Canis lupus familiaris: one gene and its partner. The protein of the gene in region 2 interacts with the protein of the main gene of each other region in a pairwise test. Links are inferred from orthologs where the notes say so. Each region holds a gene or a part of one and is shown on either strand. Other genes may lie near its edges.

Region 1 (3,664 bases), on a different chromosome or scaffold from region 2:
TGGCACATTCTTTAGTAGGTCCTTAAGGCAATATATTTAAACTAATTTACAATTTGATTTGATGTTAACTTTTTAAACATCACCTCAAAATAATGCCCTCACAACAGCCTTTTTTTTTTTTTTAATGTATTCAGATGTTTCATAAAAAATAATGGTGGCTTTATTATAGTAGTGCTCCTTAGCACCGCTATAGTTAGTTAAGGGTCTGACAGGTTTCCATTAAGAACACCTATTTCTGAGTTCACCATAAAAGATCATATCGGAACCAGTTGGGTAGTGCACAAAAAAGCAGTTTTATCAGTTGCTGGTGCTTTTTTTGTACTACTAAGTATCAAAAAATTTTTCATTATATCTTCAAAATCCAACTTCTATAAAGTAAATCAAATCGCCTCATGACTTAGACTTCAGAACAAAGTAGAGACATCTGCAGTTATCAGTAAATTGCCACCTTTAATCCATCCTGCAGTGCCCTATGAAAGGGTCACAGAAAGACAGTTATGACCATATGAAAATATGATTCTTGATACAGAATCAAAAGTTATTTTCAGTTTCCTTTGCTTTTATAAAGTCCACAATAACAATACTTAAATGCACTTTTTTTTTCCTGTGATATAATTAAAACCCAGTGTTTTATTTCAATTGAACTTTAAAATAGAGTCCCTGGTCTGAATTAGACTTTAAATCATACTGTAAACATATATTTGGTATAATTTATTGATCATCATCCAGTTGCTCCAAAAGGGTCCTTCTGCGCTTTTCCAATTCCCCTTCACTCAGTTCACTGCCAGAAGTATCCCAATTCCCCTGAAAAGACATTGAATAGGATTACATCTTATGTCAGTACTCAAAAGGTTAGTAGTATTGAACTTTTGAAAAAAAAAAAAGAAAGAAAAGGCAATCAAAATGTATATGGATTCTCTTCCACAGAAACAAGCTGCTCATCAGAGGGTTTAGGACTGACCTCTCTTCCAAAAGCCTGTTAATGAGTTGCTAACCATTCTCTGGCTTTATTAGGGGACATGGTGAACTTTGGTGCTTTCAGGTTGCATTAATATGTAAATCAGGCAGAAAGATACACAGTGTTTTTTCTTTCCCTTCCTCGAACACCTCTGTATGTGAAACATTTGGTTTCCATTTAATGAAGCCAGTGTTCATAACCTAAAGCACTATATTCCTTGCTAATTTTGTAGATTCCAGGTCACCTAAGTATTTTATATTACAAACAAGTATTATGTTTTTACTTTAAGATTTTATTTAGCCTCTCTGTATCTCTCATAAATAAATACATACATATATAAAATCTTTACCAAAAAAAAAAAAGATTTTATCTATTCATGAGAGACACAGCGGCAAGGAAGACACAGGCAGAGGGAGAAGTAGGCTCCCTCTGGGGAGCCCGATGTGGAACTCGAACCCTGGATCCTTTGATCCCAGGATCGGGATCTGAGCCAAAGGCAGGAGTTCAACCACTGAGCCACCCAGGTGCCCCAAGTATTATCCTTTAAACAAACTATCCTTAGATAAACATTGAAGATTTATGAGAATAAACATTTAAAATTTATGAGCAGGGCAATAGTCTGAAGAACACTTAAAAAATATTGTATTTGTGAAAAACAATCTTTAAAAAGTAGATAGTTCATCTATTCTCCTTCCTTCAGAGATTTCATTTAACTGATTACAAAGAACAAACTGTTAAACGCTGTTATTAAGGAAACAGAAAATCTTCACCAAGGATGTGCACGAAACTCACCAGGGCAGCTTTTAAAAAGAACCTTTATATCAACTGAATTAATTAAAACACTAAAGGGACGGTCATAGGTTGATTTAGTAGCATTATTCCTGTTAAGTCCACAGTATTTGTGGAAGAATGGCAAGGCTAAGACGATCGGTGTTACTGTGCTGTCGTTTATACACACACACACACACACACACACACGGGAAATTAAAGACTAATTTGATATTAAAATGTTAACTTTGGCTTTTAGTCCCCTCCTATCCCTCTGCCCTCACCTCTTCTCTCACAATGATTACTCCTACAAAGTTAACATTTTGAAACTGAACTTAGTGTATATCTGGAGAACCTATGATCTGAGAAACCCTGATCTGAGTCTCTTATATCCTTTAAATTTTCTTCATTTTCTTCAAATGGTAGCTAACCTAGAAAAAGTCCATCAATGTCATACTAACCACAGTATCTATTTTTTCTATTCTGGAAACCCAGGTATGAAATAATTCTGAATACTTACAGAATCCTTTCCAGTCTTTTTCTTAGGTGATTTGTGTTTTGATTCTGATCTTTGTCTAGTTCTATCTTTTTCACTTTCTCGGTCTTTTTCTTTTTTATCCTTCTCTCGCTCAGCATCTGACTCTGGAGAGTCCTATGTAAATAAAAAATAACATTAGCATTTTGATGAAGAAAACCATTGTTTTTTAGTATCTCCATTTAGATAATATTTAAGAACATCTATATATTTATATTATCATAGGGCATGTGTTCCTAGTGCAGTGAAAACTGAACTAGTAACCTCAAGGATTCTGGAACATATCCAAGATTCATTGGAGGGAGTCTGTCTATCCTTTGGGAAGGGTGACATTTTAATACAGTAACATCGCAAAAGAGTTTCACTAAAGTAGGGAAGCATACAAAATGGGAGTATGCCTATAATGTAAAAGTAGACAAACATTACACTTTCCACCAACCCAATAAAATATTGGTTTTTTTGTTCAGCTATGTGTACAGAATACTGTGATTAGGTTAATCACCTAATAGGTTGATCATCATATAATAAAATTCCTCTCTCAAAACTATAACTGAAAAGCAGGATTTTTTATTTAAAGGATTTTATTTATTTAGAGAGAGCAAGGGGAGGGACAAAGGGAAAGGGAGAAAGAGAATCTTCAGCAGACTCCATGATGAGTACAGAACCTAAACTTAAACCCTGGAGATCATGACCTGAGCAGAAATCAAGAGCTGGATGGACGCTTAACCGACTGAGCCACCCAGGTGCCCCAAAAAGCAGGATTTAAAGGGCAATATCAAAAAAATTAAAAAGAAATGGCAATGTCACTGCCTAAATAACTGGTCCTTTATTAGATATGTACAAATTCGAGTGAGTGGCACGAAGGAAAAAAATCTCAATAGGTAATAAACACCTACTCACTTATGTTTCAAAAAAAACCTCCTTAGGATATCTTGATACATACGTAAAATTAAGAACTAAGAGTAGAGAAGGAGGTGAACATTTAGACTTATGATTCTCACCACAACTGCAAGACACACACAAACACTTGGGTCTTTCTCTAAGATTGCTTTAAAAAGCCAGAGTGGGAATCTTAACGCTGATGTATGTTTATTTTAAAAGCTCACCAGAAGGTTTTAACGGAAGATTATGGTGAAGACAAATGATGTAATTCCTGAGTTCAGGTGTCCACTGGAACTGTGCTAGACTGCACAGGAGTAGACAGAAAAGGGTTCTATCGCCGCTGAGTAAGCTAAGGGCTAAAGCTAGGGGCAGTATAAAAATTAAAAGCTTGCTTACAGATTTATGTCTCCTCTTCTTGCTTTTCTTCTTATGCTTTTTTGACTTCTTGTAACTTCTCTCTAAGCAGCATGAAAAGAAAAAAATGTCTGACTTTGAGGACATCCAAGTGCCAATACCTTTTT
Region 2 (4,378 bases):
CGGACCAGAAGCCCGGTCAGTACTAGGTGGCCGGCTCCCTCCTCACCACTGCTTGCTGCAGCAGACCAGCCCTCAGCCACCCTCGGAGATCCCGTCCCCGCCCCTCCAACCCCAGGATGCGGTCCAGGTGGCCCCATGGCACCCCTCGGGACAGGGGGTGGGCCCTGCTCCGTACCATGCAGTCCATGAGGATGAACTTGAGATTGTCTTCGTTAAACGCCTGGTTCCCGTTGCGGTCGTAGGCGGCCCAGATGTTGCTGGCGATGGCCGCGGTGACCCGGGCGTCCGTGTCCCCGTAGCCGGAGTAGGCCAGCAGGGACCCCTCATTATTCAGCAGCCTGGCGAGCGGCGGCAAGGGATACAGATGGGCTGGGGGCGGCGACAAAGGCGGCTGCGCTCTCAGCCCGCCTCCCGCCGGGCGCCTCGAGAAAGCGGGGGTCAGGGCAGAGCGCGCCCCCCAGACCCTCCCTCCCCGGGGTCCTCCCCGGTCGCACTCACAGCGTGCTCTGGACACCGCCGGTGTTGGCCTGGCTCAGCACCTGGGTCAGAGCCTTGGGACGCAGCATGCCTGCGGCTCCCAGGTCTGGGCTTCCACGCCAGCCCCTGAGCTGCCTCCCGCGGGCCTCCGCGGGAGCCTCCCCGAACTCCGGAGGTCCCGGCCGGGCTCGGGGGCGGCGACGCAACGCCGCCACGCCATTCCGCCGCGGGGGGCGCCGGGACTTGTAGTTTCATGCGGCCTCGCGGCGCACCCCGGGAAGTGTAGTTCGCCTTTCCAGGGGAACCACGCGGTGGTGGTGGGGGGCGGGAAGAGCGGGAGCGAAAGGACCTGGCAGGACTGGAAGGACGTTTAACACCCCCTACCCCCATCCCGGGGAAAGAAGAGTCAGCATGCCCGCTTTACAATCCCTGACCACTAACTGAAAAAGAAATCCCAGTATTGGTCAGGCACACGTTCGATTACTCTTCAGGGCAGTTTCCTACGCCGTGCACAACCCTGGGGGTCGGGATCGGGGCTCAGAAAGTCCACGCCGGCCGAACCCAGCCCACGCTGGCTCCCTTGGGAGCCGTCCTTAGCCAACCCCGTGCAGGCCACGACCCCTGGGGGGACGGTCGGTCCCAGAGGTGAGACTCTGGGGGGACGTCCAGGCATGAAGGACTCCGGCCCGGGAGCCCCGAGAATGGGGCGGCCACGGGGACTGCGTCAGGTCCGGGAGCCTGAGTCCCCGCGTAGGTGGCGGGCGGGGATGGTGGAGCGCCCACGCTGGAGGCCAGAGGCCCGCCCCGCCCAGAGAGGCCCCGCCCCCGAGAGGTCCCGGCTGCAGTGCCCCCACCAGGCCGCCCGGGGCGCTGTGAGCGCAACTGGTCCGGAGGGCGGCGCGGCCGCGGGAAGGGGAGGGGAGGGGAGGGGAAGGGAGAGGAGGGGAGGGGAGGGGCCGGCAGGGCAGGGGAGGGCGGAGGGGCGGAGGGGCGGAGGCCGGAGCAGAGCCCGCCGGGCGGGCGGCCGAGCGGGGAGGAGGGGCCGGGGCGGGCTGGCGGGCGGCCGGGTGGCGGCGGCGGCATGGCGGAGCCGAGCGGGGACGAGGCCAGGCCCCCCATTCGGGTCACCGTCAAGACCCCCAAGGACAAGGAGGAAATAGTGATCTGCGATCGGGCCTCCGTCAAGGAGGTAGTACGAGCGGCGAGGGTGGCGGAGGAGGGATCTGCGGAGAGGGGTTGGCCCCGAGGCGGGGGGGGCGGGAGGCCGGCGGCGGAGGGGGCGGGGGCCCCGCAGGCTCTCGGAGGGGCGGGGGGGCAGGAGCGGGGCTGGGGGGCCCCCTGGGGGGGCGCTGGCCAACGCGGCGCGTGCGGCGGATGCCAGGCCGGGGCTGGCCTTGTGGCCTGGGCTGGGGGCGTGGCGGAGAGCGGGGAGGGGGCCCCTTGCAGCGGGGAGGGGAGAAACACTGGGGATGCGGGCCGCGTGCGTCCGGGGGCTGGCCGGGGTTCGAGGGGCCGCGGGAGGCGGGGGCGCCCGGGGGCGCCCGGGACTGGGGCGCGGGGTGCTGGGGGAGCGTTTCCCTCCGCCCTGATCCGTCCTACCTTTTCAAATCAAGGCCCTTACAGTTGGCCCTCGCCCCTCCGGAACTTGCTGTGTGCAGTAGGTGCTCAATAAAAGTGTGTTGACCGAGTGAATGAGGGAACACCTCCTGTGTTCGCCACCCCCTGTGGCTGCTCCAGAATTTCACATGGGCGGGGCTTTAGAGAGGCCATCTGGTTGGAAGGCAGGGATCTGGACGCTGCCTTGGCTTAGCAAGTGCACTCTCTTGACAGAGAGTGGCCTGTTTGACGTGTTTGGGCTTGGTTTGAGGGAGAGCTAGTAGATTTGGGGGCCTGCCTCTCCTCAAGCCAAACTTTAGTGCCATCACTGCCCCCCTGGAATGTGAAATGACCACATTCCAGAGTGTGCATCCTCTGCCCTGCAGAGCTCAATTTGGAATCAGCTTTAACCGAGTGGAGAGGCCGAGTGTTGGGTCAGGAGCCAGGGCTTTGGTGTCAGGACCCGAATTCCAGTCTGCCCAGAGTGAGTTACATAACTTCTCTGAGCCTCAGTTTTCTTCGCCTGAAAGTGGAGATAACGACCCATGTGTATCTTATCAGTCTGCGACCCTTCACTTCTGAATGGTCGCTGCTCTTAGCGATGATTGTGGGGTCCGTGTGTTGTCCTTGTTACGAGAAGGCTGGGCCTGGGCAGAGAGACCTGGTGGCTAGAATGGAACGCTGCAGGGGTCAGGGTCTGAGTCCAAGGTTGCTGAAGGAGTTGGGACCAAGAGAGCCACCAGGGCAGTGCTGTCACCACAGGGAGCAGCGGGGAGGGACTGAGGGGAGAGTCACAGGGAAGGCTGGGCCTTCTAGGGTGGGAGACCCTGGGGTTGAGCCCAGGGGAGCCTGTCACTAGTCCATCTCTGGTTAATGAAGGCACAGCTCACTGCAGCTGGATGGATGGAGTCTATACTGCAGAAGGGACTTCCCGAACTAGAGGCAGGGTCCCTGGTGGGTGGGGCCCAGGGAACCTCTGCAGTGACCTCTGCCTCTTGACCACAGTTCAAAGAGGAAATCTCCAGGAGGTTTAAGGCTCAGCAGGATCAGCTGGTCCTGATCTTCGCAGGCAAGATCCTCAAGGACGGGGACACACTGAACCAGCATGGGATCAAGGATGGGCTCACTGTCCATCTGGTCATCAAGACCCCTCAGAAGTAAGTCCAGGAGAGGAGTAGATCCAACTTCTCACTGGGCCTGTTTTCCTCCTCTGGTACTCACATTCTTACCTGTCGCTCACCTACCTGGAGGGCCATGCCAGTGCCCAGGAAGGTGGCCCTTGGACGGCTCCCCTACAGGGGAAAGGAACCTGATGTAGCTCTCCCAGAATGCTGGCAGATGATACTGCCCCCAGCGGCACCCCTGTGGCTGGGGGAGCCCCCTTACCCCCCTACCCCACCACCACCTGGCCCAGGGTTGCTGAGAAGGTGGTGGCATTAGGGCAGTAGCTGCACCAAAAGGAGATCCTTGTTCTCTCCTTCCTGTTCACTTCAGCTTGGACTTTATCTCTCTGTCTCTCAGGGCTCAAGATCCAGCTGCTGCTACTGCTTCTTCCCCCTCCACTCCAGACCCTGCCTCAGCACCCTCCACCACTCCTGCTTCACCTGCTACCCCTGCACAGCCCTCCACCTCTGGCAGCGCCACTTCAGATGCTGGCAGTGGAAGCCGGAGGAGCAGTGGGGGGGGTCCCTCCCCTGGGGCTGGGGAGGGACCCCCCAGTGCTACTGCATCCATACTCTGTAAGCCCTTAGGGAGGAGATCACAGTCCTGTGTGGGGCTTGGGCTTAGGGGAGAGCCAAGAGGAGACAGAAACACGGTCCCTGCTCCTAGTCTGATGGGGATAGGGGACCCCTGGACATGGAGTTCCAGACACTGGTACTTGAGCAAAGCAGAGGAGGGAAAAACTGGTCTATGAGGCCCTCCCAGAGGAAAAGAGCATGGATGAGTGTAAAGGGGGAGGGAGGAAATGGGATTGCGGATGTGGGGAACTCGGGGTGAGGATATGGGTGTGCAGGGACCAGGGGGATCCAGCAGTGACCAGTTGGGGAATATTTATTGCTCGTTCAGCAGGCCACCACGGTCGGTCGCCCTCTCTGTGCACAGTGCTGGGCTTGGCTCTCAGCGTCTGCTGCCAGAGAGGTCTTGGTTGTTGAGGCTCCCATCTCTGCCAGCAGTGGGGCAGGGCTGGGGCCAGGGGAAGGATTGGAAAGGGAGATGTGAGAAGCAGACAAGGCCCATCTGGAGACCTGACCAGTGGCTGTGGCCTGGCGGGGGCAGGGTCTTGTGGCACACTGTGACCCTGGCC

The links.
Region 1: the proteins of UBQLN4 (region 2) and pre-mRNA-processing factor 40 homolog A interact in a two-hybrid assay, tested with the Homo sapiens proteins (2 studies listed by BioGRID and IntAct). The link is inferred for Canis lupus familiaris from reciprocal best matches to the Homo sapiens genes UBQLN4 and PRPF40A.

What each region holds. Positions count from the first base shown.
Region 1 is NC_049240.1:55,413,937-55,417,600, forward strand, and holds part of pre-mRNA-processing factor 40 homolog A, read right to left. Parts: intron 3,602-3,664; coding exon 3,540-3,601; intron 2,379-3,539; coding exon 2,247-2,378; intron 805-2,246; coding exon 712-804; 3' UTR 1-711.
Region 2 is NC_049228.1:41,748,027-41,752,404, forward strand, and holds the start of UBQLN4 (ubiquilin-4), read left to right. Parts: upstream 1-1,504; 5' UTR 1,505-1,558; coding exon 1,559-1,666; intron 1,667-3,078; coding exon 3,079-3,230; intron 3,231-3,594; coding exon 3,595-3,812; intron 3,813-4,378. Other genes in the region: ragulator complex protein LAMTOR2, read right to left, coding at 176-338, 499-566. UniProt on the Homo sapiens protein: Regulator of protein degradation that mediates the proteasomal targeting of misfolded, mislocalized or accumulated proteins.